Sus scrofa: one gene and its partners. The protein of the gene in region 3 interacts with the protein of the main gene of each other region in a biochemical or structural test. Links are inferred from orthologs where the notes say so. Each region holds a gene or a part of one and is shown on either strand. Other genes may lie near its edges.

What was found.
Region 1: of the proteins of CLSPN (region 3) and CSNK1G1, one has a biochemical effect on the other in vitro, tested with the Homo sapiens proteins (2 studies listed by BioGRID). The link is inferred for Sus scrofa from reciprocal best matches to the Homo sapiens genes CLSPN and CSNK1G1.
Region 2: of the proteins of CLSPN (region 3) and CDC7, one has a biochemical effect on the other in vitro, tested with the Homo sapiens proteins (3 studies listed by BioGRID, with this or other methods). The link is inferred for Sus scrofa from reciprocal best matches to the Homo sapiens genes CLSPN and CDC7.

The regions. Positions count from the first base shown.
Region 1 is NC_010443.5:107,685,533-107,696,925, reverse strand, and holds the start of CSNK1G1 (casein kinase I), read right to left. Parts: upstream 6,878-11,393; 5' UTR 6,677-6,877; intron 1-6,676.
Region 2 is NC_010446.5:125,438,431-125,449,275, forward strand, and holds part of CDC7 (cell division cycle 7-related protein kinase), read right to left. Parts: intron 7,932-10,845; coding exon 7,838-7,931; intron 7,753-7,837; coding exon 7,610-7,752; intron 6,019-7,609; coding exon 5,766-6,018; intron 5,171-5,765; coding exon 5,075-5,170; intron 4,302-5,074; coding exon 4,123-4,301; intron 3,108-4,122; coding exon 3,025-3,107; intron 824-3,024; coding exon 674-823; coding exon of another isoform or gene 603-673; exon of another isoform or gene 1-602. UniProt on the Homo sapiens protein: Kinase involved in initiation of DNA replication. Phosphorylates critical substrates that regulate the G1/S phase transition and initiation of DNA replication, such as MCM proteins and CLASPIN.
Region 3 is NC_010448.4:91,929,228-91,940,072, forward strand, and holds part of CLSPN (claspin), read right to left. Parts: intron 9,386-10,845; coding exon 9,277-9,385; intron 8,765-9,276; coding exon 8,316-8,764; intron 7,172-8,315; coding exon 7,010-7,171; intron 6,328-7,009; coding exon 6,250-6,327; intron 5,927-6,249; coding exon 5,854-5,926; intron 4,498-5,853; coding exon 4,389-4,497; intron 4,201-4,388; coding exon 3,623-4,200; intron 1-3,622.

The DNA of each region.
Region 1 (11,393 bases), on a different chromosome or scaffold from region 3:
TCTATGGTGCAGCAATTTAAAAAAAAAAAGACATTGGCGTTCTGGTCATGGCTTAGTGGTCAACGAATCTGACTAGGAATCATGAGGTTGCAGGTTCGATCCCCGGCCTCGCTCAGTGGGTTAAGGATCTAGCGTTGCGATGAGCTGTGGTGTAGGTTGCAGACTCAGCTCAGATCTGGCACTGCTGTGGCTCTGGTGTAGGCTGGCAGCTACAGCTCTGACTAGACCCCTAGTCTGGGAACCTCCATATGCTGCAGGTACAGCCCTAAAAAGACCAAAAAAAAAAAAGAAAAAAAAAAAAAAAAGACATAGAGGAACCTTAAATGCATATTGCTGGGAGTTCCTGTCACGGCTCAGCGGTAATGAGCCCAACTAGTATCCAAGAGGACTCAGGTTTAATCCCTGGCCTCACTCAGTGAGCTAAATGATCTGGTGTTGCCATGAACTGTGGTATAGATCGCAGACTCAGCTTGGGATCCCGTGTTGCTGTAGCTCTGGCATAGGCCAGCAACAACAGCTCTGATTAAACCCCTAGCCTGGGAACCTCCATATGCCACATGACTAATGTGTCACATAAATGCAAAATGTTAATAAAAGGGGAAACTGGGGGGTGGGAGGTGGGTGGGAATTAAGTGGATAGATATGGAACTCTATCTATAAATCTAAAACTGTTCAATAACTCTTAATTTAAAAAAAAAAAAAATTGGGCACCCACAATCTCAAAGATATTGCTACTTTAAAACCACAGAAATCCTAGTAAAGTGGAAGAAAAAAACTAACAAAATCAAATCCGAATAAACCTAAAACAAATTTAAAGATTAACTTTAATCTCCTTGACTTGATCATATTTCTGCTCACTAGCATGTGCATCACACCTCTAGGAAACGGAGAAGAAATCCCAGCTGGGAAAGTGCTTGAGCACAGCTATGATGACAGCAATTTAGCCTGAAGAACTAAAATCTGGTGATCATCATGGACACTCAAGCACATACACAAAAATGAACCTAAAACATCTTCATATCATTTATTAATACCAACAGACAAATTTAAATGTATTTATAAATCTATCAAGATGGAGGTAATGTATGTTACTTTCACTCAGAGGCCCAAAAGTCCTCAATGCCCCATTTTCAGAGGTTAAAGAATTAGAATGTGTCAGGAGTTCCCATTGTGGCACGGGAGAAAAGAATCCGACTAGTATCCATGAGAATTCGGGTTCGATCCCTGGCCTCACTCAGTGGGTTAGGGATTCGGCATTGCCATGAGCTGCGGTATAGGTCAGCAGTTGTAGCTCTAATTCACTCCCTAGCCTGGTAACCTCCATATGCCATGAGTGTAGCCCTAAAAAAAAAAAAAAAAAAAAAAAAAAGATTTAGAATGTGTCAACTATAGAGATCAATTTGGTCCAGTGCTATTGTTTCTTGGAAAATTTATGTGGACTCTTGATGGAGACAATCAAACTATAGCATTTTGATAGGCTTACCCAGCACCTAGAGGTGTTGCACCAAGTTCTCTTTGATGGCAAGGGCAATGGCTATCTATTCACTCAGCTTCTCTGGCCAAAGCAAAATCCAAGAGAATATCCCTTTCCCAATATGTGCATGCCTCCATTGTGATGGGTGAGCAATTACCGAAGAACAATTCCCATCCCTGACATCCCAGGCCCTGCTATACCTACACTGCCTACTTGGAGCTTCTGTGTGAGAAACAGACTACAGTGGTATAAGGGCAGTTCATCTGTCTTCCTACATCACCAGAACATTTCTGCTGCACACAAAGCATGGTTCTCCTCTATCCAGAAGGCTCTCCCTTCAGGCCATTCCTAGTTCTACTTTATATTTTCTCAAAGATGCCTCGGTCTTTCCAGTCCATAACAGGTGTCCAACTACTGTAACCTGAAGAAGATATAGTCTTTTCCAGCTCAGTAAATCCAAAAGCCTATCCTCGGGATTCATTAAGATCTACACTGAAAAACAACATGTATATGCCCTATGAACTGTATGGTATCACTTAGACGAAAACTATAGCAAGAGGTAAGGTAAAACTCACTACTGAAAGAGTACGTTTAAGTGGACTCATCACTAAATTAAAAAATCCAGGAGTTCCTTCATGACTCAGTGGTTAACAAATCCAACTAGGAACCATGAGATTTCAGGTTCAATCCCTGGCCTCACTCAGTGGGTTAAGGATCTGGTGTTGCTGTAAGCTATGCTGTAGGTTGCAGACGCGGATTGGATCTGGCATTGCTGTGGCTCTGGCATAGGCCGGTGGCTACAGCTCTGATTAAACCCCTAGCCTGGGAATCTCCATATGCCATGGGTGCTGCCCTAGAAAAGGCAAAAAGACAAAAAAAAAAAAAAAAAAAAAAAAAATCCACAACAGAAGCTTCTCTTCTAGTTGCAATATCAGAATAGAAAAAAAAAAAGGTTTACTCTATATCTCTATAATAATTTTTTTTTAGCAACTTCCACCAATAAGTGGATTATTGTAAGCATTACTGACAAGAATGGTTTATTAAGCGAATGATGACAAAGATGCAAGAGGCTATCTAATGTTTAAACAGTTTGAAATAACAAATTACTTTTTTGGGGGGGCAAACCCGCATCATGCAGAAATTCTGTGGCTAGGGATTAAACCTTTGCCACAGCAGCATCCTAAGCCATAGCAGTGACAATTCCAAAACCTTCAACCCACCACAGAGGGCCAGGGATTGAACCTGCACCTCTGCAGCGGCCAGAGCCACTGCAGTTGGATTATTAACCCACAGTGTCACAGCAGGAACTTGAGGTGCTTTATTTTTGAAAAAAAATCTGATGAATTCAAAGCCACAAAATAAGCAGGGGTGAAGGAATAGGAATCTGAAACAGATGGCATCTCTCTAATTTTTTTCCCAAGTCCATCTTGAACACAATCCCAATAATGTCAAAACCCAATTTAGCTACAAAACATAAAATGGTAATTCTGAAGTAAATTCATTCTTTTTTTCCTCCCAGCTTCTCAAAGTTTCTATATTAGGCAGAAATGAGTAGAGACAAGTTAGATGTTAAATAGAGAAAAACTATCGTTCCAAAAATTCTAAAATTTTTTTCATGAAAATTTATTTCCACTTCTCTGAAGCCAATGAAGCAGTTTCTATCAAGACTGGTGATACTAAAATCTGTCTATGATAACAGCCTGGATACAATGATCATTTATCCTTATTAGAGACCAAATTATAGCTTCAAAAAGAAATATGCTCTGAAATAGAAACAAGCTCTGGAAGAATATTCATTCATTTGGTTTGAGTGAGGCACTATATGGCACTTTTTAAAAATTTATACAGTTAACTCACTCTTGATCTGGCAGCATGAATAAAGTTAACTGTACTTTGTTCATTATATATTCCAATATGATATGTAAACTTTTCCAGTCTTTCCTAAAGATTTCTGAGATCACCCAAGAGACAGGCATTAAAGGAAGGTTTAGTCATTTTTAGATTTCCGGACAAGCAAATTCCATAACTGACAACTGCAAAGATCAGTGGAATGGCCACATACTTTGCCTAAGTGGAAAAGGTCTTTGGGAAAACTATCATCTCTGACAGTTTCTACTATTACCTACATTTTAGATAGATATTTTTACAGCTGGTATCCTACCTCTCCTAACAAATGATTTATTAAAGCTTTATAAGAAGATGGGGAGGGGAAATGGGAGCTTCTGATGGCTTTGCCAAAGCAAGACAATACAGTCTCAACTTGAAGATTTGAAAGATGTTGAAAAATAATCCAGGAAAACACAATTCAACACTTATATATACTCTGAAGACTTTACAATATCAGAAAAGCCATTGAGAAAGTTGAATAATCTTACAAAAAAATCTACAACTCCAATAAAAACATATTTTCAACACTTTAAAAAATAGTATAAATATCCCATTAATAATTTTGACTATAGGAGTTCCCATCGCGGCTCAGTGGTTAATGAACCCGACTAGGATCCACAAGATCATGGGTTCAATCCCTGACCTCACTCAGTGGGTTGGATCCAGTGTTGTGGTGAGCTGTGGTGTAGGCCAGTTGCTACAGCTCAGATTCAAACCCTGGCCTGGGAACCTCCATATGCCGCAGGTGCGGCCCTAAAAAGACAAAATAATAATAATAATAATTTTTACTATATCCATCCATCTATCAATTTGACCAATATTTATTTGGTGCCTTTCATGTAGCTGCAGTGGGGGCTAAAATTTAAAATAGTATTTCTAACTTAAGGAACATACAATATAGCTGGAGAATTTTATTAAAAAAAAATAAAATTCAACACTATTTAAAATAGAGGGAAATGAAGAGGCAATATATTTGAAAATTTCTCTCAAAATTATGACACCTATGGAGTTCCCGTCGTGGCGCAGTGGTTAACGAATCCGACTAGGAACCATGAGGTTGCGGGTTCAGTCCCTGCCCTTGCTCAGTGGGTTAACGATCCGGCGTTGCCGTGAGCTGTGGTGCAGATTGCAGACGCCGCTCTGATCCCGCGTTGCTGTGGCTCTGGTGTAGGCCGGTCGGTGGCTACAGCTCCGATTGGACCCCTAGCCTGGGAATCTCCATATGCCGCGGGAGCCGCCCAAGACCAAGAAATAGCAAAAAGACCAAAAAAAAAAAAAATTATGAAACCTATAAACTTCTCTAAAAAGTGATACTGAATTAAAACTTTACACCAACTTTTTGCACAAAAATCTATTATCTTTTGAATATAAAGTACATTTAAAAATTTTAAATTACAAACTACATTACATTAAAAAGCAAACTAGCTGAAAATCTGACATTTAATAGGTTACATACAACTGTATCATTTTAAATCTACAAAACAAATGATATAAAAACTTCTGAGATAATTTCTATGTCATCACAAATACTTCAAAGGCAAAAATTCATTCCATTTTCATTTATTTCACAGAATATTATACATATAAAATTCTATAAGTTTTGCTAATAAGCTTAAATCTACTTAACATGAATCATACTACTTTTGTTGATTTTAATCGTAAAATTAAAAGTACTTTGTTTTATGCCTCAATTTTAATTCTCTATAAAGACATGTGATGTTAATTAAGATTTATATACACTGCTTTTTAAATGTTTTTCTTATCAACCCATGCCATACACATCACAAATCTGAGAAAAACCTTTGAAACATCATTGGTCGTTTCAGTTAATTCACATACTTTTTAAGAAACTCCTGATAATTTGATGCTGCTTATGATCAATTTCTAGAAGCCACAGAAAATCCTGTTGTACAAATATGTTTTGGAATATTATCCAGTTCTGTTCCTATCTCAAACCCTAATCCATAAAACTAAGCTACCTTAACCGTGTTAAGATTATTAATAATTTATCTTTCAATTGGAAGGTGCTTCCATTTAAAGTGGGCTGTTATTTAAATACATTACTCCCCCTTACAACACTGGTAAGTATTTTAACTCATATTACTTTGAAGAAATTGTATCTCTGGTAAGTTCTTGACTTGTCCAAGGTCAACAACTAGCTAGTGGCAGTCCAGGTTCAATCCCAGATTTACCTAACCTCAAAGCCAATACTTCCACTTGACCACAATTATCTCCTTAAAAGATTAGGAGACAGGCGCAAAAGCAGAGAATCTTGTCTCTCTGAATGTTCACGCCTCTATTCTGAGACATCTATAATCACACAGTACCTACAATTCGGTCACTAACTGAAGTATACGTGAAGAGAATCATTCTGCTTCATTTAAACTAGGGCAGGCTTACTGGCAGATAAGAAAGATGTTGGAAAAGGCTTGCCTCAACATGTTTCGCCTAGACCTCTATATCTATACGGTTCCCCTAGTGTATTTTTTACAAACGCGTATCTACCAAACAATGCTAAGCTAAATTAGCCCATAGTTTGGAGCTTTTCAGAACTGCATTTTCTAAAATAATTTACACCAGATTTAATATCGAGATGGGAGACTTGGCTAAATATGCCATTCTGGCACTTGCCAAACATTCTAAGTATCATTGAGGGGCAAGAGAACCAGTTCCACCCTCTCTCTTTCTTTTACGCTGTGATGCCTGCCCACTTGGGGGGCGGAGGCGGTACCTCTCCGGTAGGACACCGGGGCCAGAGAGCACTAAAGGAAGAAGTGGGGGAAGCGCACGGAAATTGGGAGGAGGGAGGTCTCCTTACCCACTCTTCTGCCCTAGCTCTGCCAAGGGCGGCTCCCCGCAGTGCCCAGCCAACTCACAACCCCCACAACACTCGAAGCCGGGCTCTGTCCCAGGGGGGTGCCCAAGGGAAGCAGTCATTTGAAGCAAGGGCTTGTCCCAGCCACCCCGCCAGGGTCAATGTTCTCCTTTTGGATGGAGAGGATGCTCCCCCTTTTAGAGCTAACCCTCCAGGTGGCAAACTCCCAGTCCGCAGCAGCTAAGTCTTCTGCTTTCAAGGGGCGCCTTCTCCGAAACCTCTACCCGGCCACTCGAAACTCTCCGCCAGCGGCGTGCCCTGGCCCTTGCATTCCGTCCTTAAAACCCTTTACAATCAAACTCGCCGGCCTGCGCCCCACCCAGGATCTCGGTGCTCCCCTCCCCGACTCGGAGAAGGGGGCCCCCACCAGCCGGCTTAGACACACACACAACACCCTCAGGCTAGAGCCTCCCGGATCCCATCGAAGCCGGAGCGAGTACCTCGTCTGGCCGTGTCCTGGGGCTCAGATGGGGTGAGCGCAGTTCCCTCCTGGAGGCGCGGAGTGCTTCTCTACCCACCAGCAGCGTTGGCTTCTCTTTCCTAGGAACTGGAGGGAGGAAAAGTGCGGGAGGGGAGGGGGGAAGGCGAGGAGCCGAGGGGCGGCAGAAGCCGAACCGGAACTACTAGCGCTGGCCCCACCCTCAGCCCGGCGCAAAGCACCCGGGCGCTCCCGATAGGACAAACTTAAAGCTGGCAGTGAGAAATGTACACCACCACTTCCGGGTCATCCTCGCTACCGCCCCTCCTTAGCAACCGCGTGGGGTTGCTAAGCGGAAGTGCCTTCAAAGACTGCCACCCCCACTTCTTCTGGGATTACTAGAACCGAGCTGCGTGCGTGTGCTCCTCTGTGGCAACATACCCTTACCTTCTACTCCTGCTCCTATCTTGGGTGGAGCACGGGCTCGCCTGCCAAACACAGAGAGCCCACTTTAGTTTTCTCCTTAGCTGTACTCGCACTATTAGCCCCAGTCATTATTTACTCCAGTTCCCTCCCGCCCCGAATCCCAAGTGGCTCCTCCTAAGGATCTCTCTGATCCCTCGTTTCAGGCGGTTTAGCAAGCGTCTCCCTCTTGTGGATATTCAGTTGTGTTTCAACTGGATTTTTTTAGGTAACCTCCAATGTTACGAAAGCTTTTTCAAGCACTTGGTTCTCCTGTGAGAGCCCCTGAAATCGAAATCGAAGGTGAGAAACTTCTGTCTTCACCTATCTTGTCTTTTGTAAAGATTGCACATGTTTAAGATATGAAAATAACCGAACTAAATGGAAGGAGAAAACAAAGATTCGCTGTAAGTAACGTGAGTAATCCTTAAGAGAAAAAACCGTGAGGAATGGCCAAAGGAAGCTGGTAGTCAAGCTTGTGGAGAAAGACATTTAATCCACCACTGAGAATAAATTCTCATTCCTATACTGTGGACAAGAAAAAAGTGTTAATAAGAGACCTGATTTATTCTTGTCATATATTCTAAACCTAATACTGACTATTAGCTTTTTCATATTAGAATGAGAAAGAACAAGGAATAATGAGGCCAGAAAATGAGAAGGAACCAGAAGAGATTATAGGATCATGGAAACAAGTCTATTAAAAAACTCTATTCAGGAAGTTCCTGTTGTGGCTTAGCAGTAACGTGCCTGACTAGTCCATGAGGATGCAGTCAGTAGATCCCTAAAAAAGTGGGTTAAGAATCTGGTGTTGCCATGCGCTGCAGTGTAGGTCACAGATGCGGCTTGGATCTGGCATTGCTGTGGCTGTGGTGTAAGCCAGCAGCTGCAGCTCTGATTCGACCCCTTGCTTGGGAACTTCCAAATGCCAAGGTGCAGCCCTAAAAAGAAAAAAAGTTAAAAAAACAAACAAAAAAAAAGGTCTATTCAGGAGTTCCTGTATGGCTCAGTGAGATAAGGATCTGGAGTCACCGAAGCAGTGGCTCCGGTTGCCGCTGTGGGGTGGGTTTGATCCCTGGCCCAGAAAATTTTGCATACCTCATGCATAGCCAAAAACAAAAATTCTATCCAAAAAGTTATCCCCCTCCTTTCTATTTTCTTTTTAGGAGTTCCAACCATGGCTCTTTGGTAACCAGCCTCACTAGTATCCATGGGGACACAGGTTCAATCCCTGGCCTTGCTCAGTGGGTTAAGGATCAGTGTTGCCAAGAGCTGTGGTGTAGGTCATAGATACAGCTTGGATCCTCCGTTGGTGTGCTGTGGTGTAGGCTGGTTGCTGCAGCTCCAATTCAACCCCTAGCCTGGAAACTTCCATATGCCTCGGGCTTAGCCCTAAAAAGACCAAAAAAACCTCGTTAATTTCTTTTTACATTTTTAAAATTAAAGTATTATTGATTTACAATGTTGTGCCAATATCTGTTATACAAGTGACCCGGTCGTACATATATATACATTACTTTTCTTATCTTCCATCATAATCTATCCCAAGAGATTGGATACCTTGCTTATTGATATTATTAAAACCAGAAATGATAGGTGTCAGTATAAAATTTAGTTTCTGCTCCAGAATTTGAAATTCCTTTGAAATATCTCATAAGATGGATAGGATGCACTCAATAATAATTTACTCAATTACCATATGAGCAATATTGAATAATTCTTAAATTTTATGTGCATAAACATCATTTTAAATTTAAATTTTTTGTTTTAATTGCTCTTTAACCATTTATTTTCATTTAGTTTGTGACAAGTGCAAATCAATTAGAAACACAATGTACAATCCGAAACAGATATAAAATGTTCAGATATGAAGCAAAAGGGTGTGTTCATTCACACACACAGAGATCTCATGTAGTTTAAGATCTGTTGGATCTACTACGTATCCAAGAATAAGTAATTCTTGCATGTGCACTTAAAAGTCAAGAATGGGGAGTTCCCGCCATGGCTCAGTGGTTAATGAATATGACTAGCAACCATGAGGATGCGGGTTCCATCCCTGGCCTTGCTCAGTGGGTTAAGGATCCAGCGTTGCCGTGAGCTGTGGTGTAGGTCACAGACATGGCTCAGATCCCATGTTGCTGTGGCTGCAGGATAGGCTGGCAGCTACAGCTCCGATTCAGCCCCTGGCCAGGGAACCTCTATATGCCTTGGGTGTGGCCCTGAAAAGACAAAAGACCAAAAAAAAAAAAAAAAATCCACATGTGCCTATTTTTTTTTTTTTTTTTTTTTTTTTTTTGTCTTTTGTCTTTGTTGTTGTTGTTGTTGCTATTTCTTGGGCTGCTCCCGCGGCATATGGAGGTTCCCAGGCTAGGGGTTGAATAGGAGCTGTAGCCACCGGCCTACGCCAGAGCCACAACAACGTGGGATCCGAGCCGCGTCTGCAACCTACACCACAGCTCACGGCAATGCTGGATCGTTAACCCACTGAGCAAGGGCAGGGACCGAACCCGCAACCTCATGGTTCCTAGTCAGATTCGTTAACCACTGTGCCACGACGGGAACTCCCACATGTACCTATTCTTATTGATCAAGTTTATATATATGTGTGTGTTTGTGTGTGTGTATTTACACAAAGAACACAAAAGAGTTGTGAATTTATTGCAGACAAGTTTCCAGTCTTCATTTACAAATACCTGATAACATTATTTTTGCCTCCTGATAGGAAGATTTATCAAATATGCCTTAAGAAAAAAATCAGTTTTTTGTATTTTGGCCACGACTGCAGCATGTGGAAGTTCCCAGGCCAGGAATCAAGCCCATGCCATTGCAGTGACCCAAGCCACAGCAAGGAGCTTAACCCATTGAGCTGCCATGGAACTCCCCGATCAATTTTGTGGTGGTAAAAATTATTTGACATATGCAGAAATAAAAATGGGTACTTTAATATTGGTGGAAGGCAATGCATTTCTTTTTTTTATTATTAAAGCATAGTGGACTCACAGTGTTATGCTAATATCTGCTGTACAGCAAAGTGACCCAGTTACCCACATACATACATTCTCAGGCACTTCTATATCTTTTGGAATCAAGTTAAGTGATCTAAGTTAGCTAAGTGAATCAAGTTAAGTGATCTAAGTTACCTAAGTGAACCTGGCACTATTGCTAGATGAGAATGTATGATAGAAATACCCATTCTTGACTTTTTTTTGGGGGGGGGTCTTTTTTGCCATTTCTTGGGCTGCTCCCGAAGCATATGGAGGTTCCCAGGCTAGGGGTCTAATCGGAGCTGTAGCCTCTGGCCTATCCCACAGCCACAGCAACTCGGGATCTGAGCCGGGTGTGTGACCTACACCACAGCTCACGGCAACGCCAGATCCTTAACCCACTGAGCAAGGCCAGGTATCAAACCCCCAACCTCATGGTTCCCAGTTGGATTCCTTAACCTCTAACTCCCCATTCTTGACTTTTAAGTGCACATGCAAGAATTACTTATGCTTGGATATGTAGTAGATTTCAAACCATCATTGCCCTGAAACATGTCAGTTACTATAGAAAGTCAAATGCAGTGTCAAATCCAAACCCCCAGAGCAAAGAGTTAAGTTCCCAAGAGAACAGTGGAAACTTAACAGTGTAAAACCTTATGGAGAATATATCAACATTAAACTAGGACTGCTGAAACAATACACAGAGGATTTATAGCAATACCTGGTGGCTCCTTCCAGTGTACATCTTATAGAATCACCAAAGCTATTCATACCACCTAATAATTTTATTGGCCTTCTAGATTTCATGAGCCAAGACAAAAACTGCATCTCCATTCCAAAGTTCATCCTTTTTCTCTAGATGAAGATGAAATTGTTCTTATTTGCAAGGTAGAGTTTTAGGTGTCCACATTTCCTTTTTTTTAGGGCCAAACCCGTGGCACATGGAGGTTCCCAGGCTAGGGGTCGAATCAGAACTGTAGCTGCCGGCCTACACCACAGCCACAGTAACCCAGGATCAAGCCGTGTCTGAGACCTACACAACAGCTCACAGCAATGACAGATCCTTAACCCACCGAGCGAGGCCAGGGATTGAACCTGAATCCTCATGGATGCTAGCCGGGTTCATTAACCACTGAGCCACAGAGGGAACTCCTACAGTTCTTCAATTACATTAAATCACATTGTTAATTCTCAGTTTTGTTTCTCTCTAGTCTTGTAGCTGAAAACTCCAGCAGGTGTAATATTGGCATTCGTTATCTAGTCAAATAATTCAGATGCTCTTTAAACTGCTCC
Region 2 (10,845 bases), on a different chromosome or scaffold from region 3:
AAACCCAAGGGGGCATTCGCGTTCAAATCCCTGGCCAGAGCGAGGCCGAGATAATTCGCAGGTACCCTACGAAACCTGCTGAATATCCAAGCCTTGACGGAGAAGAACCCATGTGACTGAGCAGCGGACCTTCCGCGTGCAATAAGTGCTGATGGCAGCACCCGCAGAGTGGAGGCATTCCGTCCTCAGCCACCCTAACAGGCTTCCGATCTCGTTCCCTCCCGGCGTCCTTACAACACTCTATTCAAATTACCTCTTTTCTTCTTAGCACAGACTAAGGTCGTTTCGGCAGGCCCAAGCACACACGATGCTTAATGCATGTAACAGTAAACAAACCCAAGCAAATGAAAAACATGTAAGACAGTCAAACCACAAGTACAAGGAGTTAAGATTTTATTCCTTACTCTTTTGAGATTATAAAGCTGAGCTTTAAACAACAGAGAAGCACAGTACTTTGCGCTTGCTAAGGTGAAAGGATCGCACCTACAGAAGGGAAGGGATAAATTACTTTCTTACACAATGCCGTTAATTTTCAAACAACTAAGAAACTTTCCAACATCAGAAAACTTTACGAACGCAGATGTTTATTTGTCAAGAGAATTTCACAATTTAAGTGATGTATAGGAGATATGCAAAAGGTATTTGTTTTGTTCTATAATGTAAAACTGCTTACCAAAAGTTTTAGCAGCCTGGATAGTTTCCCTGGATCCACGAATGGTCATAATTTGAGCCAGAGCAGTTAAATCATCACTTGCTTTATAAAATGGATACCGTCCACTAAGCAGAGAGAGGAATATGACACCTGCAGACCACATGTCAATTGCTGTAACAGAAAATCAGCTTTGAGAAAAATCCCCAACCCATAATTTTACTTCTGTATCAACAGTTCGCAACCTTTACTGTATCTTCAACCACCTTAAGAGCCTTAAAAATATTCTGATGCCCAATCCCCTCAAGAGGTTCTGATTCAACTGTTCTGGAGTAGTGCTTAAGCATCAGGGTTTTTTTTTTTTGTTTGTTTTTTTAATAGTTATTTCCCCAATACAATTTTTTTTCCTTACTGTACAGCATCAGTTTTTTTTTTTAAAAAGTTCCTCAGGTGCTTTTAATGTAATTTGTCTAACATCCTTAATACAAAATACACAGTCTTCTTTCTCGAGCAACGTGCTGGTCTGTTTAAAAGGGTGTTTCGTCACGCAGTAAATGCACATTTTATAACATCAAAACAAATCCAAAGTGGCTGTGTAGGAGAAGAGTCTGGATGCTGCTCAGGATCTACACACCACAGCAGTGAACGCGTTGCCCCGCAGTGCAACGTATGAACATCAGAGGCTTGCCTTCAGCCAGGTGCCAACCAACCCCACCTCTGCTGTGACAACGTCCGTCTCCAGAGTCCTGCCGGTTAGGACCAGCTCAGCCTCCCGTGAAGAAGCTCATTAAAGGAAACAAACAGCTTGGGGAAGCTCGTCTTCTGTCCTAACTGCTGAACTCCCTGCATCACCAGGTTACCTGCTCCACTCCCTTGGCCGCTGCCGCACACCTGCCGTTCCTGGCTCCCTGCGTACCTCTGCCCGCGCCTGCAGTGTTTCCTCCAAGCCTCAGGGGCTGAGGTGCCCCCAGAGTTCCAACGCCTCCCCTGTGGACTCTGCTGGACCGGCCCGTCCACAGCTTCCACTACCCCTCGCGTGGTAAGGAAGACACTCGGTGCCACCGGCGGCCCAGACGTCCCCGCGCTCCAGACGCACTATCACCCCGCTGGGCATCTCTGTCTGGATGTTCCACACGCTCTCAAACCAGCGATGCCCCCGTCCCCTTTTTCCTTCCCTGTACACCGGCTACTTCTTTTTTCTCCACGCCGGTTGCCCCTTAAAGGTCCCCAAGCTAGGAATCTGGTAAACATTCTGGAGGCCTTTTCTCTGCCACCCAAATCCCACATCCAGTTATCCGCCAAGCTCTGCCTGTCCCGTCTTCACTTCGGTTCACTCCTCCCGCTCCCGCCGCGTCCGGGCCTCCATCGTCTCCCCGGGGCCGAGCCCTCTCTGCACACCTGCCGAAGGACCCTCCAGAAGACCGTCAGCTCCGGCGCTCTCCCCCTTTCCCGAACCTGCAGGATGTGGTCCGAGCCACACGACACCCGAACCCTGACCTTCGCCACCTCTCTCCCCGTTCATGTGTCACCACTCTGACTTCCCACACAGTCTGGCAACACGAAGCTTGGACGGCTTCCCGCGTGACCGCGCTATCTTGGGTTCCCCTGCTCGTGTGACCCTCCTGTTCTAATCTACATTCTCTTCCCAGGCGTTCCCTCTCCCGTGAGCTTCCTTCCATGACCCCTCAGATGAGAGGAGTCAGAGACCCTAAAACACTCTGCATACTGAACAGACTGCTTCATAATCACCGGAGCGAGTGTCTGACTACAGCGAAAGCAGATCCTTTTCTGTCACCCGCAAAGCACAGAAGGAGCATCTGCCAAACGAATCCACTTCCGTCAAGTCCATAACCCACGTGAAGACGCAACGCCTCAAGAAGGTGTCCTCTGGGATCCTGATCCGTGACGACTCTTTCCGGTTAGAGTTTTTTCTCTTTTGCAAATCTCCGCAATGCTATCACACTGTCTTCACAACCAAAAAATTTTAATCAAACACACAATCATATGCGTACCACAGAAGACGTCTGAGGTACGAGGCAAACATAAGACGTTGCAAGACTGAAGCTGGCCAAGACTGCTAAGCCCAAGTCCCCACAAAGGTGATGTTAGAATTATTCCTGATAAAATCACCTTGTAGAAAGATAAGCAAAACCTAATCTACAGAGGAAAAAAAAAACAACCCAAAGCAACACTCGGGTTAGAAGCTTTCATACACAGCACCAGGTCAAAAACGGGACTACGCTGAAGTGCCAGGATCACCTCCAGACCTTAGGGAGAAGCAGGACAGCTCCGACTTAGTCCTAACTAGACAGCAATCCTAAGATACACCCGTGGAAACCAGCTGAACTGGGTTCTGTGTTTCCAACGTGACCTACCTGTGGTCTGATTGGGGCACTTGGTCAAGACCTCTGGTGCTCTGAAGCCTGGTGTACCTGCCCGAGGTGCCACCTGCTGCCGCCTAATGATGATGAAAGGAGATGTTTCTAGTTACGTTAAAGTTTAATTACGTAAGAACAAAAAATAACACTTAACCCATTTACTTCACAGTCAAGTAGTATCTATGCAAATAAAAGTTACTAGAAGGCAAATGATAATCCAGTGTGATGGAAATCCTAGATTTTGCTTCTATGGGTCCCTTCCCCTCCCACTAGTTCCCAGGTCTTGCTCCAGACAGGTTTTAAGGTAACATCCAGGCATAAGAAGAGGTAGTAGATGATGACAGCCAAAACAGAAAAACAGAACACATCAGGAACGCTGAGGTATAAAAACCTATTTCTGGAGTTCCCATTGTGGCACAGCGAAAATGAATCCGACTAGGAACCACGAGGTTGTGGGTCTGACCCCGGCCTTGCTCAGTGGGTTAAGGATCCGGTGTTGACATGAGCTATGGTGTAGGTCACACACAGACGTGGCTCGGATCTGGTACTGCTGTGGTGTAGGCCGGCAGCAACAGCTCGGATTCGACCCCTAGCCTGGGAACCTCCATATGCCGCGGGTGAGGCCCTTAAAAGGACCAAAAAAAAAATGTATTTCCATTTTGAGGAATTACTTACTGAGCTATCTGTTCACATATGTACTAGAGTTAATCAGAAAAGCTCATGAAAGCTTAAGAAAGTCTTGAAGGGAAGAAAAGAATTTATGTGGCAAAGAACTGGAGGTGGGAGTGTGAGAAAGGTTCTATTATTTGGTTCAGGTTATTCTACGTCGCCAGGAATAAAGAAAACAAGATGACATCACCAAGTAAAAGAGGCCACTCTCAAGTTTCTGAAGAGCTCTTCCTACTTGCATGCAAAGGCAAACGTGCTCTCCCGAGCATGTGTGTCAAGGGTTGTCACCTGCACGTCCAGGTACCGCGCTGCACCAGGGCCCTCGGTTCTCAGAACTGCACTGTTCCCTTTTACTCACTCAAATCAACCGCCCACCAGAATCAGCAGGCTCATCGGGCAGCGTGCAGCACCATCAAAACATATTACCTTGAAAGGCAAATACTGCAAACTTTATCTGTTGCATAACAGTCACAGGTCAGGCTGGCTGGGCAAGAACTGGCAGTTTTCCTCATCACACCACTATTCACAACTTTTGTAGAAATAGCCTTCTTTTTTGTTGCTAATTTTCTAGATAGCAAATCCACAGTCTTTGACTGCTTCATAAGCTGTAAGAGAAAAGTCATATTCCCTGTTTTCACGGCATCTAATGATGCCTCAAATGCTACGATGGCAAAAAGCAACAGGGGAAGCATAACTTTGAGCTGCTAAATGTGCTGTTGGATTGTAAATAAACAGATGTCTATTAAAATTGAAGGTCTCTAGTTCTTTGTGTTGAATAAACATTAAAATCTACTAATTATTCCTACTTCGGGGAATATTAAATTATACTTTATTAGAACTTTTCCTTGAAATGTTACTTAAGTATGAAACATTGACGTTTTAGTGTCTAACTCCATTTCAGAGCTGTAAACTGCGCAATTACAGCGGCTGAATCCAGAGTTTTAATTTGCTGCTCATGCTATCTAGCTGCTACAGGATATCATCAATCAGTTTAAAACCACTTAACACTGGCGACAACTCTGTAAACGCTACAAACATCTTTACGCTATCAACTGCATGTCAGAAACGCATTAGTTGTTGGGAGTCACATCCCAGCCAATGAGAGAAAAGGCCACAATGCTCTGAATGTTCCTGTTCCCTGAGAGAAAGAGCAGCAACCGTCAGCTCATCAAAAAATGATGAAAAATTCCATCGGAAAGGTTCAGAAAAAACTGGAGAAAACGGAAGTGTTGACAAGATGCTCCAAGCAATAATACCTTCTGCCAAAGCAAAACTCTTAAAAAAAAGGACCGCTAATAAAAGCTCATCTGGCCGTTCCCTAAAAGTCTCCCCCGGGTACGACTGACTGAAGGGTGCACGATTAAGCTACGTTACTTACTTTCACTGCAGGGCTCTCATGTGACACGGAGCTGTGTATATTGAAATTTCTTTCTCCAAAAACAGAGCGCTGGACAGAAAGGCCTACAGATCCTTCCTACGATACCAACAAAAACAAGGAGAATAAGGATTACATCTGTAACACTTTCTGCCAGCTGCACTCTGCCACAGTTTTGAAAGAGTTAAGTGACATAAAACAAAAACAGCTGCATCCAAGTCATTCTCAGGCACCAAAACACTTCTGTGAAAAGAGAAGACAGTCTAGACAGCACCCTTCACCCCCCATGCAATGTTATCATAGCCCACAAATACACAGAGCCACCTGCACAGCTGTTAGGTTTTGCTGCGCTGCTAAAACGGAGATGGACACTTCAGGGTTGTCCCCACCAACTAATGCTTTCTTTTAAAAAGGATAATTGCTATAAACTCGATAACAGGCAGGGAAAATTTATTTTCTATTTTTGTTATATAACGCAACTGTACTGACAAAGCCATTATGCACCTACCAAGTGCAGATTTCAGTTTTGAAATCCTAAAACCCTCCCTTATAAATCTTAGTGAAATCTAATCAATTGAATATCTAACCAATGTAAAAAACATTTTTAGCTGCAAGCATTATCCCGGAATAATAACGCTGTTGGATGGAGTACATTTCTAAAACCATCCGAGCCCTTAAGAAGCAAAAGAGGTACCTTTCCATCTTGTCCTTGTTTAATCTGAATCTGCGCATGTGTGTAGGGCCTCTTGACAGAGGTTTTTGTGGTAGGCTGCGGATCCAGCTCCTTAGGTGCTGCTGGGCCACTCAGTGAAATTTTGCTTCCGGTGATTACATAGGATTTATTTTGTGAACAGCTTTCCTGCTGAGCTTCAGACTGGACAAATTTGAGAAGCTCTATTTTCGTATCATGGGTTCCTTGGGCCAAACCAAAGTCTACCAAGGCATACCTAGGAAACAAAAGCATTTTTACTTCTCTGTGACAGTTAAAGCTTGGTAACATCATAATACAAACCATATTCACACAGAAACTGTAATTCTTCTGAAGATAAATTAAGGGTTTATAAAATCCTTAAAAAAAGAAAAGTTAAGATTTACAGGCAAGGTAAGGATTTAATAGCTAACTACTGAAACTTAAGGAAAGATGTAACCCCTACACACAAAAGCATCTTTTGTCCCCTCTGTCCACTGGGTTGTGCAGACAAGGAATGCAGGATGTGAACGCAATACTTTGTTCTCTGACAGTGGAAAGAGGTGGCATCATTGCAGACAACTTGTTTTATTTTTGTTTGTTTGGCCACGCCCATGGCATATGCTGAACTTCCTGAGCCAGGGACTGAACGTGCACCCCGGCAGTGGCCCAAACTGTTGCAGTGACAACGCTGGGTCCTTAACCCACTGTGCCACAGGAGAACTCCAGATAATTTTTTTTTTTTTCTTTTTAGGGCCACACCTGCGGCATATGGAAGTTCCCAGGCTAGGGGTCTAATTGAAGCTGCAGCTGCTGGCCTACACCACAGCCATGGCAACGTGGGATCCAAACCCTACATGCAAACCATACCCCAGCTTGTTGGCAATGCTGGGTCCCTAGCCCACTGTGCGAGGCCAGGAACCAAACCCTCATCCTCATGGATATACTTGGGTTCTTAGCCCATTAGGAACTTCAAGATAACTTTTAATTAACAAGTTTAAAAGAAAAATAAATTAAAATCAGTTTAAAAACCTGATTTCATTAAAGAAAATTGGGGAGTTCCTGTCGTGGCGCAGCAGAAACAAATCCGACAAGGAACCATGAGGTTACGAGTTTGACCCCTGGCCTCGCTCAGTGGGTTAAGGATCTGGCATTGCCGTGAGCTGTGGTGTAGATCACAGACGCAGCTCGAATCTGGCATTACTGTGGCTCTGGTGTAGGCCAGCAGCCACAGCTCTGATTAGACCCCTAGCCTGGGAACCTCCATGTGCCATAGGTGCGGCCTTAAAAAAGACAAAAAAAAAAAAAATTAAATTAAAGAAAATTTAAGTCAGGAGTATAGTATAAAAGCCCAAGAAAAGAAGTTATCGTTCCATTTTCCTTACTATATTCAAAACAACCCACTGTGTAAACAGCAGTATTTAAGTTTCCCACTTACAGTGCCTCTATGTATATAATCAGCATAAAAAGTATACAAAACCCCAAAACTTCAATGTTGAAGCAGGAACTCGGCTATCATGTGGTACAATCCTCTTATTTACTAAGAAAAGAAAAATGAGGCATAGAGATAAAGGCATAAGGTAAAAAACCAAAGACCCCAAAAAACCTAGACTCCTTCTGAGTCTCTTTTACTAAGGGCAATTTCCACTGAGCCACGGTCCATCTAGTGATGCAAGCTGTTTCACTAATTATCTTCTCCTGAGTGTATTTCCCTCCCCAATCATAATGCCAAGTGGCAAGCGAAACCAACCTGCGCACGGCTGCTGCGGTAAGGCCCACGTCTAAGAGTTGGACCCCACAGCCTAAGTTCACTCAAGTATAAACAGCTTCTGATTCCTTTCCATACTTACTTTTTCAGGCGCCTATTATATAAAAAATTGCTGGGCTTAACGTCACGGTGAACAATCCCAAACTGATGAATGCGTTTCAAAGCTCTGAACAGATTAAACATATATTCCCGTACTTCTTGAAAAGAAAGAGAATTCAAAATGTCCTAAAATACAGTGATGAATAAGGTGGTAAGATTACTTTTAATCAAATACGTTGTTAATAAAAATTCAAAAACGATTAAAACCTACCAAGAAGGACTCATGCTCCAGATAGGGCATAGCAATAACCACGTGATCATTTTTCCTAAAACAGTATTTAACTCCCATGACGTTGTCTTGCCCCCTAGTGGAAAAACGCAAGAACTTTAGCAGAAAGGTCAAATGAACTGAAACTCTAAGCTCAGTGTTTTAACAAATACAACTGCAGCAATGCATAAATAATGCTAGAAAACTAACGCAAAACCATCACCACACAGGAGAGTATACACATTAAGTGACTTATACAAGATAAAGGGTTTTTTTGAAACAAAGACAACACCAGTTATGAAGTTATAATTCAAAACCAAGACAATTACACTTTTAATTGGGAAAGTGGCAGAATGAGAAGGAAAACATGAAGAATGAAAATGAGTAAGACTTCACAGCAGATAAGATGGTAGAGGTAATCCATAAATCAGTTAAAAATTAGTAATTGGTAACATTTACTGAACATTCACTACAAACCAAGTTCTGATCTTCACATCTGTCAAAAGACTCCCTTAACCTTCACAACAACGCTCCGAGGATGGTGCTACGAGTGCTCTCCCTCGCCTACAGATACTGAAGTCGAGGCACAGGGAAGTGAAGGAACTTCCCGAGATAACTAAGCTAGCAGGTCACGGAGCCAGGATTTGAGTCCAGGCAGTGTGCTCCAGATCTACACTCTCAACCGCGGTCCTCCTCTGCCTTGGAGAAATGAGAAAACGGGGCAAAGCGGTTCCCATGGTTCTGCACCTGCGTGAGTAAAACGACACGGATACCAGCAAAACACGCCGCGCAGACTCGAAAAGAAACACCGGAACCCAAAACCTCGTCACTCTGATAAAGATGCCTCGATACAAGATTCTATCTTAAGTGAGAAGCCAAGTGGGAGTGAGCGACAGAAACCTAAAGTGATTCAGAGAGAAGAGAAAACTGAGCCCTGGAAAAGTCTCGAGTCCGAGGCCGGATGGGGGTGTCACCCAAGGGAGCTGCCGTGAAGGACGGGGTGGTCAGCCTGGGGCCCAAGAACAAGGACTGAGGGAAGGCTTCTGGTCCGGCCAAGAGGAATTAGCGAATTTTCAGAGGGCAGTTTAAGCGGAAAGCAAGAGGCCAAACAGGATTGAAGGAGGGAAAGCGGACAGACGAGAAACAGCACAGAAAGACGCCTGCTGTGTAGCACAGGGAACTCTATCTGGTCACTCGTGATGGCACACGATGGAGGACAATGCGAGAAAAAGAAGGCATACGTGTGTATATACGTATATCCATCCCTTTGCTATACAGCAGAAATCGGCAGAACGCGGGAATAAACTACAACAGAAAAAATAAAAATCTTAAAAAAACCATAAAGACAATTTTCCTGAAATATCTGGCAAAGAAAAGAATAAAAACCAGTGTGGGAGCTAGAAAGGAAGCAAGATCAGGTAGATTTGTTTCTTTTTTTAGCATGCACATTTTTGAAGAAGAAGGCAAGGAAAACTGGTCAAGGGAGTTATTTCGAGTGTGTGGGGGAGGAAGAAGCTTCTTCAGGGGACGAGAGGCTGTCATCAGGCCTCAGAGCGGCCGCCTCATTCTCTCGCCTTCCGTCATACACAGAGAGGGCAAACTGAAAGCAGGTGTGTTCACTCCTCCGGGCGCTGTTTAGTGGGCACCACCCTCCAGACACGATGCTGGGCTTTCAGGATGCGACGGGGAAGGGACCGAACATCCCTGCCCTCCTGGACTTTCCTGTCTGGTGGACGATGAGGACAACAAACAAGGGAACAGTAACGACAAATTACGACAAGGGCTTTGAAAGGGATCCAAAGGGCTCTGACAAGAAGGTGTTCGGAGACGACCTCTTTGAAGTGGTACCGTTCCTGCTCAGGGTTCCTGCTCAGGGCCGAAGAGGAGTCGGCACGCAAAGCCCGGGAGGGAGCGGCCCCGACGGGGAGACAGCACCTGCAGGGCCCCGAGGTGAGGGCGCTCCTGGATAAATCTGCGGAGCTGGAGACCCCGGAGCACAGCGAGGGGGCGCGAAGACTGGCAGGAGATGAAGTTGGCTTTGTTCTTTCCGGAGAACATTGGGAAACCACTTAAGAATTTTAAGAGGCGGAACAGCATCCAATCGATAGTACACACACACCTATTTTACATTTTAAAGACCACTCTGGCTGTCCGGTGACTACGAGATGAAGAGGGAACAGAAGCAGGCTGCTGTGGGAAGCTAGGCTTGGGCTGAGGGGATGGCTGAGAAGATAGAAAGATACAGATAAATTTTAGATCTATTTGGGAGGCAAAATCACCAGGACTTGGCAGTGGATGTGGACGAGGACAGAAGAGGGACACTGAGGGTGACCACTCGGTTTCTGGCTTGAGGGGCCAGGCAGACAGCGGGGCCACTTGCTGAGGTGGGTGGATGGAAACACATGGTTGCCATCGGCATTTTTGGACAGGCGAAGGAGGGTTAGAACGTCGCTGCTGGAGCACTGAGGACGAGCGGTGTATTAGCCACCCAAACGGAAACGTCAGCGGTACGAATCTGCAGTGGAGAGGTCTGAGGCCAGATACACACCCACGGGGACCCTGACCATGTGTGCACCCAAGGCCGGTGGAACACACGACCCCACCTACGGCCGTCTGGAGGAACACAGCCCGGGGCGGAGGGCTGAGGATCGCCCGTGTTTGGGGTCAGGGGAAGAGGAAGAACCGGCAGAGGACACTGCACACACAGGCCACGTAAGGCGGGAGGAAATCAATGGCAGTACAGTCAAGAGACAATTGCCCAAAGCACCTAAACTGACACTGCCAGACGTGTGCACGGGAACAGAGAAAGGGACCAAAAAGCCGAAGCCACAGCTGGCTCTGAAGTAGCTTCAGCTTGGCGTGGAGGAGGCGGGCGTGGAGGAAGCAGCCAAGCAGGTAGGCTGCGAGGAGTCTGGCTGTGAAGGGGAGCAGAGGCCAGGAAGCGGCCGGAAGGGGGACGGCGGCACAGGGAGCTCCAGAGAAAGCCCGTCATGTCTCTCGTTGACAGGGAG
Region 3 (10,845 bases):
TGTCACTGCAGCAGCTCAGCTCACTGCTGTGGTATGGTTTGATCCCTGGACTGGGAACTTCTGCATGCCATAGGCATGGCCAAAAAGAAGGAAAAAAAGTATACAAATAACAAATGCTGGAGAGGTGTGTAAAAAAGGGACCCCTCCTACACCTTTGGTGAGAATGTAAACTGGTATAGCCACTATGGACAACAGTATGGAGGTTCCTCAAAAAATTCTAAATACAAGTTGCCATATAATCCTGCAATCCCACTCCTTTTCTCCAGGCACATATCTGGAGAAAACTCTAATTTGAAAAGATACACACACTCCAATGTTCACAGCAGAACTCCAAGGTTCACAGCAACAAGCCAAGATATGGAAGCAACCTAAATGTTCATTGACAGATGAATAGATAAAGAAGATGTAGTATATATACAATAGACTACTACTCAGCCATAAAAAGGAATGAAATATTGCCTTCTGTAGCAACACGACCTAGAGTTTATCATACTAAGTAAAGTAAGTTACAAAGATAAATACTATATGCTATCACTTACATGTGGGATCTAAAATATGACACAACCGAACTTATTTACGACAGAAACAGACTCACAGACATACAAAACAAACTCATGGTTGCCAAAGGGGAAAGGAGGAAGGGGGAATAAATTAGAAGTTTGGGATTAGCAGATATAAACTAATATACATAAAACAGACATTCAAGGTCCTTCTGAATGGCACAGAGAACTAAATTCAGTATCCTGTAATAAACTATAATGGAAAAGAATATGAAAAATAACATATATAACTGAATCACTTTGCTGTACCCCAGAACCTAACACAACATTGTAACCAACTATACTTCAATTGAAAAAAAAAAGTGCGTATTTATGTGCCAGGCACTGTGCTAGTTCCCTCTATAAGCCAACCAAACTCTCCAAGCCTTAGGAGTTCCCATCGTGGTTCAGCAGAAATGAATCTAACATCCATGAGGACACAGGTTCAATCCTGTAACTTCAGAGATCTGTCAACAAAGGACCTTGTTATAGGTTAAGTTGTGTCCTCCAGAAAGATAAGTCCCCATCCTAACCCTTGGTGTCTGTGAATGTGACCTTATTTGGAAGTAGGGTTTTTGCAGGTATAATCAAGTTAAGATGAGGTTGGCCCCATTCCAACATGACTGGTGTGTACTTATACGAAGAGAAGGAGTTCCCATTGTGGCTCAGTGGTTAACGAATCTGACTAGGAACCATGAGGTTGCAGATTCAATCCCTGGCCTCACTCAGTGGGTTATGGATCTGGTGTTGCTGTGAGCTGTGGTGTAGGTCACAGACGCGGCTCGGACCTGGCGTGGCTGTGGCTATGGCGTAGGCAGGTGGCTACAGCTCCAAATTAGACCCCTAGCCTGGGAACCTCCATATGCCGCAGGTGTGGTCCTAGAAAGGGCAAAAAGACTAAAATAAATAAATAAATAAAATAAAATATTTAAAAAAAAAAGAAGAAGAAGAAGAAGACAGGACTTCCTGTCGTGGCACAGCAGAAATGAATCCGACTAGGAACCATGAGGTTGTGGGTTCGATCCCTGGCCTTGCTCAGTGGGTTGAGGATCTGGCATTGCCATGAGCTGTGGTGTAGGTCGAAGATGCGGCTTGGATACTGTGTTGTTGTGGATGTGGCATAGGCCAGCAGCTGTAGCTCCAATTCATCCCCTAGCCTGGGAACTCGCATATGCTGCGGGTGCGGCCCTGAAAAGACAAAAGAAACCCCTGAAAACCTCCCCAAACCTCAATTTCTTCATTTGCAAAATAATACCTGGGGCTACGAAAATTAAGAAAGATAGCAAAAAAATCTGTCAGTATCTAATATAGTAGACACCCCAAAAAAAGTTTTCTTGGAGTTCCTGTATGGCTCAGTGAGTTAAGGATCCAGTGTTGTCACTGCTGAGGATCAGGTTGCTGCTATGATGCAGTTCAACCCCTGGCTTAGGGAAGTCCTACATGCTGTGGGAATGACAAAACAATTCTTTTCTTCCCTTTCCTGTTTCTTAGTCCAAGAATGTTTAGATAATTTCTGGTCCCACATAACAAAATTTCAGTGGCTAGTATAGAATGTACTCAAAAAAGTTTCTTTCCCATCTCCTAGTCTGAGACTGTTTACATAATTTCTTGTCCCATACAACAAAACTTTCCCTCCCTAATCTGGGCAACAGCTGGGCAACAGCTTATTCCCATGCTTCCTTGCTAACAGAGTTATGCCACACAACCCTTCCACCTCATTCCCAGCTCTGGTCAAACTGACTTACACATCCTCCCAATACGCACCCCACAGAGCTCTTTCTGTCCCTTCCAAGAATGTCCTTCTCTCCACTTACACAAAGTCCACCCATTCAATCAACAAAGACTCACTAAGCTTAATTTACACGCCAGACACTGACTGACCTAGTACCCACCAACCATATTCTATTTAATAAAGAAAAGACTTGATGTACATAATTTCACTAATAACAGAAACAGCAGCCACCATTTGAGTGTTTATTTATGCTCTTCGTTTATATGCACTATTTCAACAAATCTTCACTACTGCCCTGTGAACCAGATAGTGCTATTTCATTTTTTTTAAAAAGATGGCTTGGAGAGGTCAAACAGCATATTCAAGTTTAAATAGTGAGTAGAGAAGTCCAGATTCAAATCCCAATCTTGCTACAGAGCCTAAGCTCTTAATTATCATACCGCACCGCCTTGATGCCGAGGGAGCGCCCAATTTTACCTACAAGTCAGGACATTTACCCAATGTGGGTAGTATTTGAGTTCTCTGTTAAAGGATCATTCGTTCACTCATTCATTCAATAAACATGGTTGCCTACAATGTATCATCCATTTTGGAAGCACAGGGGATAGAGTAGAGAGCAAGCCAGAAGATCCCTACTCAAGGTATAATGGGAAAGGTAGTGCATCAGTAATTACACTCACTCACTCTTCAAGCCTTCCTTTAACCACCTATTATAAGAGGCTTACTCCTTCTCTGAACCCCCAACATACTTTATTCTTAATGTTCCTTTCAGCAAAGAATACGCTTCCCTTTTCTCTATGTTATTTAATTTTTTCCAATTATAGTGACATATTCAGGATAGATGTCACTTACCACTTTATCTTTTGTATTACTGTCATTTGCATACTTCTTATCTCCCCTGTTAGAGTGCAAGTAGCTTAAGTGTAGGATAAATGTCAGATTTCTCAAGCATGCCTTATAGCATCTTGCATGCAATGGATAGTTTAATATTTGTTGAATGAGTGAAAAAAAAAAAAAAGAAAAGAAATTCAGTTTTGCAGACAATTTGCTGAACCAAAGTGCTTCCAACTGTGACAAACTAAATAATGCTTTTACCAGTGTCATGCCATAACGCAATGTACCCTCCTTTGTACATTAACTATCAACAGGTTTCCATTTTAAACAAGGTTTAGAACATTCTGATACCCTGCCAAGTGTATCTACATGAGATTCTACCTGTGATTCATCTGTAGAATAAGACCATGTGTGGTTATTCGTTTCTCCCGTGTTCCTTATCCTCCACAGCGGCAAATAATAGAAAGCTGACAGAATAGATCACTCTAGAGAATCTCTCCACAATTCAGAGCATTACCTCTGTTGGTTTCAGGTTCTTCAAGTATCACAAAAGAATCTTTGTCAGCACCCAGCCGAGGTTTAATGAAAACATCTACTCCCAGCTGCTTAAGTCTATCCACAGTGAACCTCCTAATTTTGTCAGGTGGCACTACTGCTGCTGATTTAGTTTGCTGGCTGGGCTCTTCCACCTTCTCATCTGCTTCTTTTGTTTCTTTCAGGTCTTCTTCTCCCTCCAGGGCAGGAGGTTCAGGTGCCACGAGCCCTCCAGCCCGATACTTCTCACTGTCCTTGTCCCTAAGGAAGCTGCATTCTTGTGCCACCAAGATGTCTCCAGGTGAAGGTCTAGCATCACTTTGTTCCTGTTCCTTGGGAATTTCTAGCTTTTCACTTCTCATCAAATTCTTACTGCAAGATTCATCTGATCCAGTAGTGGTCTGTGGTTCGTTTGTAACTTCAAGGAGCTCGTTGGTTTCCATTTCATGTTCTGCACCTGTTGTCTGCTCGGAATCTTTGCTATGGTGGTCATTATTCAGCTCAGTTGTATTCACAGTATCGGTGACTTCTTTGTGATGGCTTGCCTGATACTTAGATGACCTAGAGGATGGGAAATAAGTCGGGGTTGAAAATTACCCTAAATCTGAAATATTCTCATCCTTCAGCACATAGTGAACCAGTTAACATTAGTTTTAAGGGAGGGGGGAATCTGAACTCTTTATGCAAAGTATTTGTCTCAAAACTGAACATTTATGAAAATTATAATCACAAGGAAAAAAGGTTCTTACTTCAGTAGTGCCATTGCATTTCCCTGGCAAGTGGGCCGGGGTTTACGTTTGTAGAATTCATGAATGGTTTTATTCTCAGGCATATGATATGGAAGATTAAGTGCAGACTCTATAAAATGGAACAAAACAAGCAAATACATATACTGTATATTCTGAAATGTCGCTTCATGTTCAGTTAACTAAACAATAGAACCAAAGCCATCACCAGAAATAGAAAATATTTCTGCCGTTACTAAAAACAGGATCTAGGAGTTCCCGTCGTGGCTCAGTGGTTAATGAATCCGACTAGGAACCATGGGGTTTCAGGATCGATCCCTGGCCTTGCTCAGTGGGTTAAGGATCCCGTGTTGCTGTGAGCTGTGGTGTAGGCCGCAGATGCAGCTTGGATCCTACGTTGCTGTGGCTGTGGCGTAGGCCGGTGGCTACAGCTCCAATTTGACCTCTAGCCTGGGAACCTCCATATGCTGCAGGAGTGTCCCTAGAAAAGGCAAAAAAAAGACCAAAAAAACCCCCCAAAAAACCAAGATCTAAATACAAAAGAATTCCCTGAAGACCAGTGGCTTTTAAAAACTAGTTGTGAAATCAAACTGATCCAGGAAGTCTTTTAAAAATACAGATTCTGGGGTCCCATTTCAAGCCTACCGAATCAGAATTTCTGTAGGGCATACAAATTTATAAATTTGAAAGGTTTGTATAAGGGATCCTGATGCAGACAAGCCAAAGACAACCATTTTTAAAAACTCTCTTCTGGGAGTTCCTGTAGTGGCTCAGTGGTTAACGAATCCAACTAGGAACCATGAGGTTGCGGGTTCGATCCCTGGCCTTGCTCAGTGGGTTAAGGATCCGGCGTTGCTGTGAGCTGTGCTGTAGGTTGTAGACGTGGCTCGCATCCCACGTTGCTGTGGCTCTGGTGTAGGCTGGCAGCTACAGCTCCTCTTTGACCCCTAGCCTGGGAACTTCCATATGCCACGGGAGTGGTCCAAGTAATGGCAAAAAATAAATAAATAAATAAATAAAAACTCTCTTCTGTTTTTGTTCTGTTTTGTTTTAGGGCTGCACCCGCAGCGTATTGGGGTTCCCAGGCTAGGGGTCGAATCAGAGCTGCAGCTGCTGGCCTATACCACAGCTCACGACAACACCAGATCCTTAACCAACTAAGCGAGGCCACAGATTGAACCCTCAACCTCATCGTTACAAGTAGGATTCATTAACCGCTGAGCCACAAAGGAAACTCCAAAAAACTCCTTTCTCATAACCACTACAATTCTGGAAATTTTCTCAGTTTATACTAATGATCCAGAGGTTTTAGAATAACAGCCATTCAACAATGTCAATTCTAAACATGCTATTATAATCCCATTCATATTAGGATTGTTTAAAAAAAGTAAAGTCCCCAACATCCAAGTTGAGCTTACAAAGAAATAATGTGATTTGCCTCAATGTTTACCATACTGGTTTATATTACCTCGAATAAGGCGCTGAGTCTCGCTATGCAATTTTTTTAATGCTTCCTTACTTAACTTGGCTGCCTTTCTTTCCTTAAAGAAAACAAAAGGTGAGACTATATTAATGCTATTATCCAGAAAGAGAGTCATCCTTAAGAGTCTACTTCCTCCAAGAAACAAGGATGGAGAGGGAAGAGTAAATACCTATAAGCTTGATATGATATAAACTTCAAGAGCTCACTTATTTGCAAGTCTCATAGAATTAATTCAACCCAACTCATATTTGTGTCCCGACTATGTACAAAGCAATATTCTGGGTATCAGGAAAATACGATGGACATGATGGAATTCCTGAGAAACCCACAATCTCCAGGGAAAAGAGCTCAACATGACAACTATATAGGGCTCTACTTCACCTTCCTTGTGGTGCCTTTTGGTAATCCACTTTCTTCTTCAAACGAATAGTCCCCACTCTCCAAAGACAATTCCTTTTTCTAAAAGAGAAGATTGCACATGGATAAACAGGGACAAAAATTAAACTGACACAAGAGGATGTTGCTTAGTCAAAGACTGCTTTTGCACTCCAACAGCCCATCATGCTACATTAATAATAAATCAATAATTACTAAGTATAGATGTTAGACACACAGTATCCTATAAAGCCTAGGAAACAAACTGGATGTCTTAAATGGAGCTTGGGCCCTCATTTCTTACACCCCTGCATTTAATCTTTCCCTCAGGAGGGAAAACGACCCCCAGGGAACTAAAGATAATCTTAGGAAGAACAATTATGCTTCCAAACATTCAGGACAATAATGCTTTGACAGATGCTTCTCTCTGATACCCTTTCTGAAACCCTATAGGTTCATTTCCTAGAGGCTACTAGATTATAAAATTCACATCTCTGCCCCATTATTTCTAACCTGCTTCCTACATAAAGTATCCTACTTTCCCCCTCAACATTCCTTTTAGGACAATGAAAATACTAGTTTCCAAACAAGTTAGCATGTCTACCGCTTGTACTGCATCATTCCAAAATTAACAGCTGAAAACATAAATCAATTGACACGTTTTTCTTCAGTTAAAAAAAAAAAATTAAGATTCCCACAGCAATTCAGAACAAAGCAAAGGTTAGAAGTAATGGGTTAGCTTTTATTGCAGTCATCTTTTACTTGCCTTGTGTTTTTTTACTTTGTTTTTCATAGCCACCCTTATTGATTCTAATGACTCTTCATCTTCCAGTGGAGAGTTACTTTCCTCCTCCAACCCAGTTTCAAAAAGGTCTTTATCCACAAGTAGACAGCCACTGTCATTAAATGGCTGTTTCATATCATCTTCCTAGACAATACATAAAGAAAAAGCAAGATCCAATCATTTTAAATCCAGTATTTTACAACATCATACAGCAATTTGCATCAGAACAAGAAAAAGCGCAGGCTTCATCAATAGACAAGTATATCGCATCCTACAACATTCTCACTGGTTCCTAATCCACAGTCATCTTTTGACGTTCACAATGTGATTTCATGCAATTGTCCAAAACTAATGTAAAAAACAGTACATGTCATGGCGCAGTGGTTAACGAATCCGACTAGGAACCATTAGGTTGCGGGCTCGATCCCTGGCCTGGCTCAGTGGGTTAAAGATCCGGCGTTGCCATGAGCTGTGGTGTAGGTTGCAGATGCGACTCGGATCCCCCGTTGCTGTGGCTCTGGCGCAGGCCGGTGGCTACAGCTCCGATTGGACCCCTAGCCTGGGAACCTCCATATGCCACGGGAGCGGCCCAAGAAATAGAAAAAAAAAAACAAAAACAAACAAACAAAAAAAAAATTTACTAAGAAACTAGTTTATAAAACTTGAAGATAGTTTTTCTAGTTAGCAAACAAGTCTTTTGACTGATGGATGCATGAAAAATCCTCCTGTGAAAGTTAATTTTCTTCAGATCAGAAGCAGCAATAAATAATTCTACATGTTCACAAAGAATATCAGAAACCCATTTACTTGGAAGTGTCCTTATGTACCCCAAATGGAGAATGAGACCAACAGGTATGAAATCGCAAACCTCATTACTTGCAATGCAAAACAATCAACTCAGAGCTATATACTGAGTGCAGAAACAATCTCAAGAACTAAAAACTTTTTATAAAATGTTAATCTGCCTCAGAAATAGCAAATTTTGGAGTTATCATTGTGGCTCATCAGGTTAAGAACCCAACTAGTATCCATGAAGATGTGGGTTCAATCCCAGCCCTCACTTAGTGGGTTAAGGATCTGGCATTGCCACAGCCTGTGGCATAGGTCACAGATGCAGCTGGGATCTGGCGTTGCTGTGGCTGTAGCGTAGGCTGGCAGCTGTAGCTCCAATTCAACCCCCAGCCTGGGAATTTCCCTATGCCGCAGGTGCAGCCCTGGAAAGAAAAAAGAAAAGAAAAAAAAAAAAAAAAAAGAAAAAAGAAACAGCAGATTCTTCTTTTAAATGTACCTCAGTTTTTGTTTCCTTCTTTTTCAGTCGCCTAATTTTCTCCAGCTTTCTCTCTTCTTTCTCAAGTCTTCGCTTTGATTTTACTTTTGCTTTTCGCCCAGATTCTTCTTTATCATATATGGGCTTTTTGGAACTCTTTCTGTCAACTGTAAATTCCAGAGAGTTTTCAGATTGGAGACCCAGCCCTACGCAAGGTGTCGTTTGGGTTTCAAGATTATCCTGATACAAAGACTCCTCGATGTCACTTTCATCACTGTCCATCAGAGTTTTGTACAGCTTTCTAACTTTTCTATTTTTCCTGGCATATAAGTTCTCTTTATCTTCCTCCTCAACGTTGTCATTGCTAGTTTTCTCTGGAGAGGCATTTGCATTCTCTCTTTCAGAATCACTGTCTTGTAGCACCTTCCTGCTTTTCAGTTTCTTACTCACAAATATCTCTTCATCTGAATCTGGAGGAAACAAAAAAATTTTTAGAGGTCTACTGTCACCTGGCCTTCTTCCTAGTCCCACTACTCCTTAAAAACATATCCAATTATCCAAGTGATACCTTGTGAAATTATGTAACTAACACTAAGAACTGACTGTAGCAAAACAAATCTAAAAATACGTTTTGAAAAAGATCTTCCCTGGAAAAATACCTCTTGCTGAGAAATGTAATTATGCATATTTACAACGTGTAAAGTTGTTCTGATCCTTCTGGCAGGTGTTAAAAATCCTTTTATTATAGAATGAATGCATTCAACCAGGCAATGTGGTAGTTTCTAGTCATTTAATACATTCAATAATATGATAGGAAAGGTTATTTTCAAAAGATTGCAAGCACTACTATTTTGCTTTTATAATAAATAAGTTAGGTATTATTAATTTAATAAATCAAGAGAAAAATGAAATTAATCCTGTCCACTTACAACCCAAGCTCCCACATTCTATTCCTGAAATATAAGTTCTGACTATTACAAACCTCCTTCACTCAAGGGCCCAATTGTTTCAGAGCTGCCCTGTCCACTGTCTAAAGGACTATCTGCTTCTTCTTGTGAAATGAGTTTTGAATCATTGATTTCTAGATGAACCTAGAAAATAAGAATATACTTTGCATTAACCAGCAGACGACAGAAAGCTCTAAGTACACAAAAAAACACAAATCATCTTGGGATCATCAGGCTGAAATAAGGAAAAGAAACAATTCAATGATCTAACAAAAGAATGACATTAAGAATTACTGTACAGGAGTTCACGTCGTGGCGCAGTGGTTAACGAATCCGACTAGGAACCATGAGGTTGTGGGTTCGGTCCCTGCCCTTGCTCAGTGGGTTAACGATCCGGCGTTGCGTGAGCTGTGGTGTAGGTTGCAGACGCGGCTCGAATCCCGCGTTGCTGTGGCTCTGGCGTAGGCCGGTGGCTACAGCTCCGATTCAACCCCTAGCCTGGGAATCTCCATATGCTGCGGGAGCGGCCCAAGAAATAGCAACAACAACAACAACAACAACAAAAAGACAAAAGACAAAAAAAAAAAAAAAAAAAAGAATTACTGTACAAAAAAAGCCGACAGAAATTCATTGTTGACCTTTGAAGGATACTATAGAACAAACTAGTTTGAGTAACAGCAAATAAATTTAAAGAATCAAGCATTTACTGTGTTTTTCTGTGTGAACTGTTTCTCAGTGTATCCAAATGACAAGTTAAATAACATCACAGAGAGGCAATTTGTTATGTGGGAAACTCTATAGTATGAACTGTATGGTTTCTTTAACAGTAAATTGCAAGAAAAAAGAGGGAGGGGGACTTACAAAGAGAGTTAAGATACACATATACACACATATATCAAGGACTGCAATATGTAGGTTTTATTTGGATCTTGATTCAAACAAACTGAAACTATATGTATGAGTCAAAGAAACATGAACACTGACTAGGTATTGGATACCAAGCAATAATTCTACATTGTTAGGTGTGGTAATAAAATTGTAGTTATCTTTTTTAGAAAGCCCTTACCTTTTAGAGATGCATAATGAAATAGCTGTGGATGAAATGTGTGGAATTTGCTTCCAAATAATCCAGTAAGGTGGAGAGTCAGGGGGCAGGGGTATAAACGAAACAAATTTGTATGATTTGATAATTGTTAAAGTTAGGTGGTGGATTCATTACAAATTTTCCCAAAAAACAAATAAAAAATAAAAGTCACAAGTAAAAAAAAATCTAAGAAGGTACATTACGTAACTTGACCAGTTAGTGACCAAGCTGATCCTAGATACCAGGTCTCCTACCTCCTTGCTGTAGGTAGGACCATGAATCAACTTATTAACAAGGCAGAAAATATGAATATCTGTAAGGTAATATGGCACAAGACTTCACCCTAATGGTTTCTCAAGCAACTAATAAATTGATTTGAATGTTTAGTACAATTTTTTTTTTTTTTTTTTGGTCTTTTTGCTATTTCTTGGGCCGCTCCGGCGGCATATGGAGGTTCCCAGGCTAGGGGTCCAATCGGAGCTATAGCCACCGGCCTACGCCAGAGCCACAGCAACGGGGG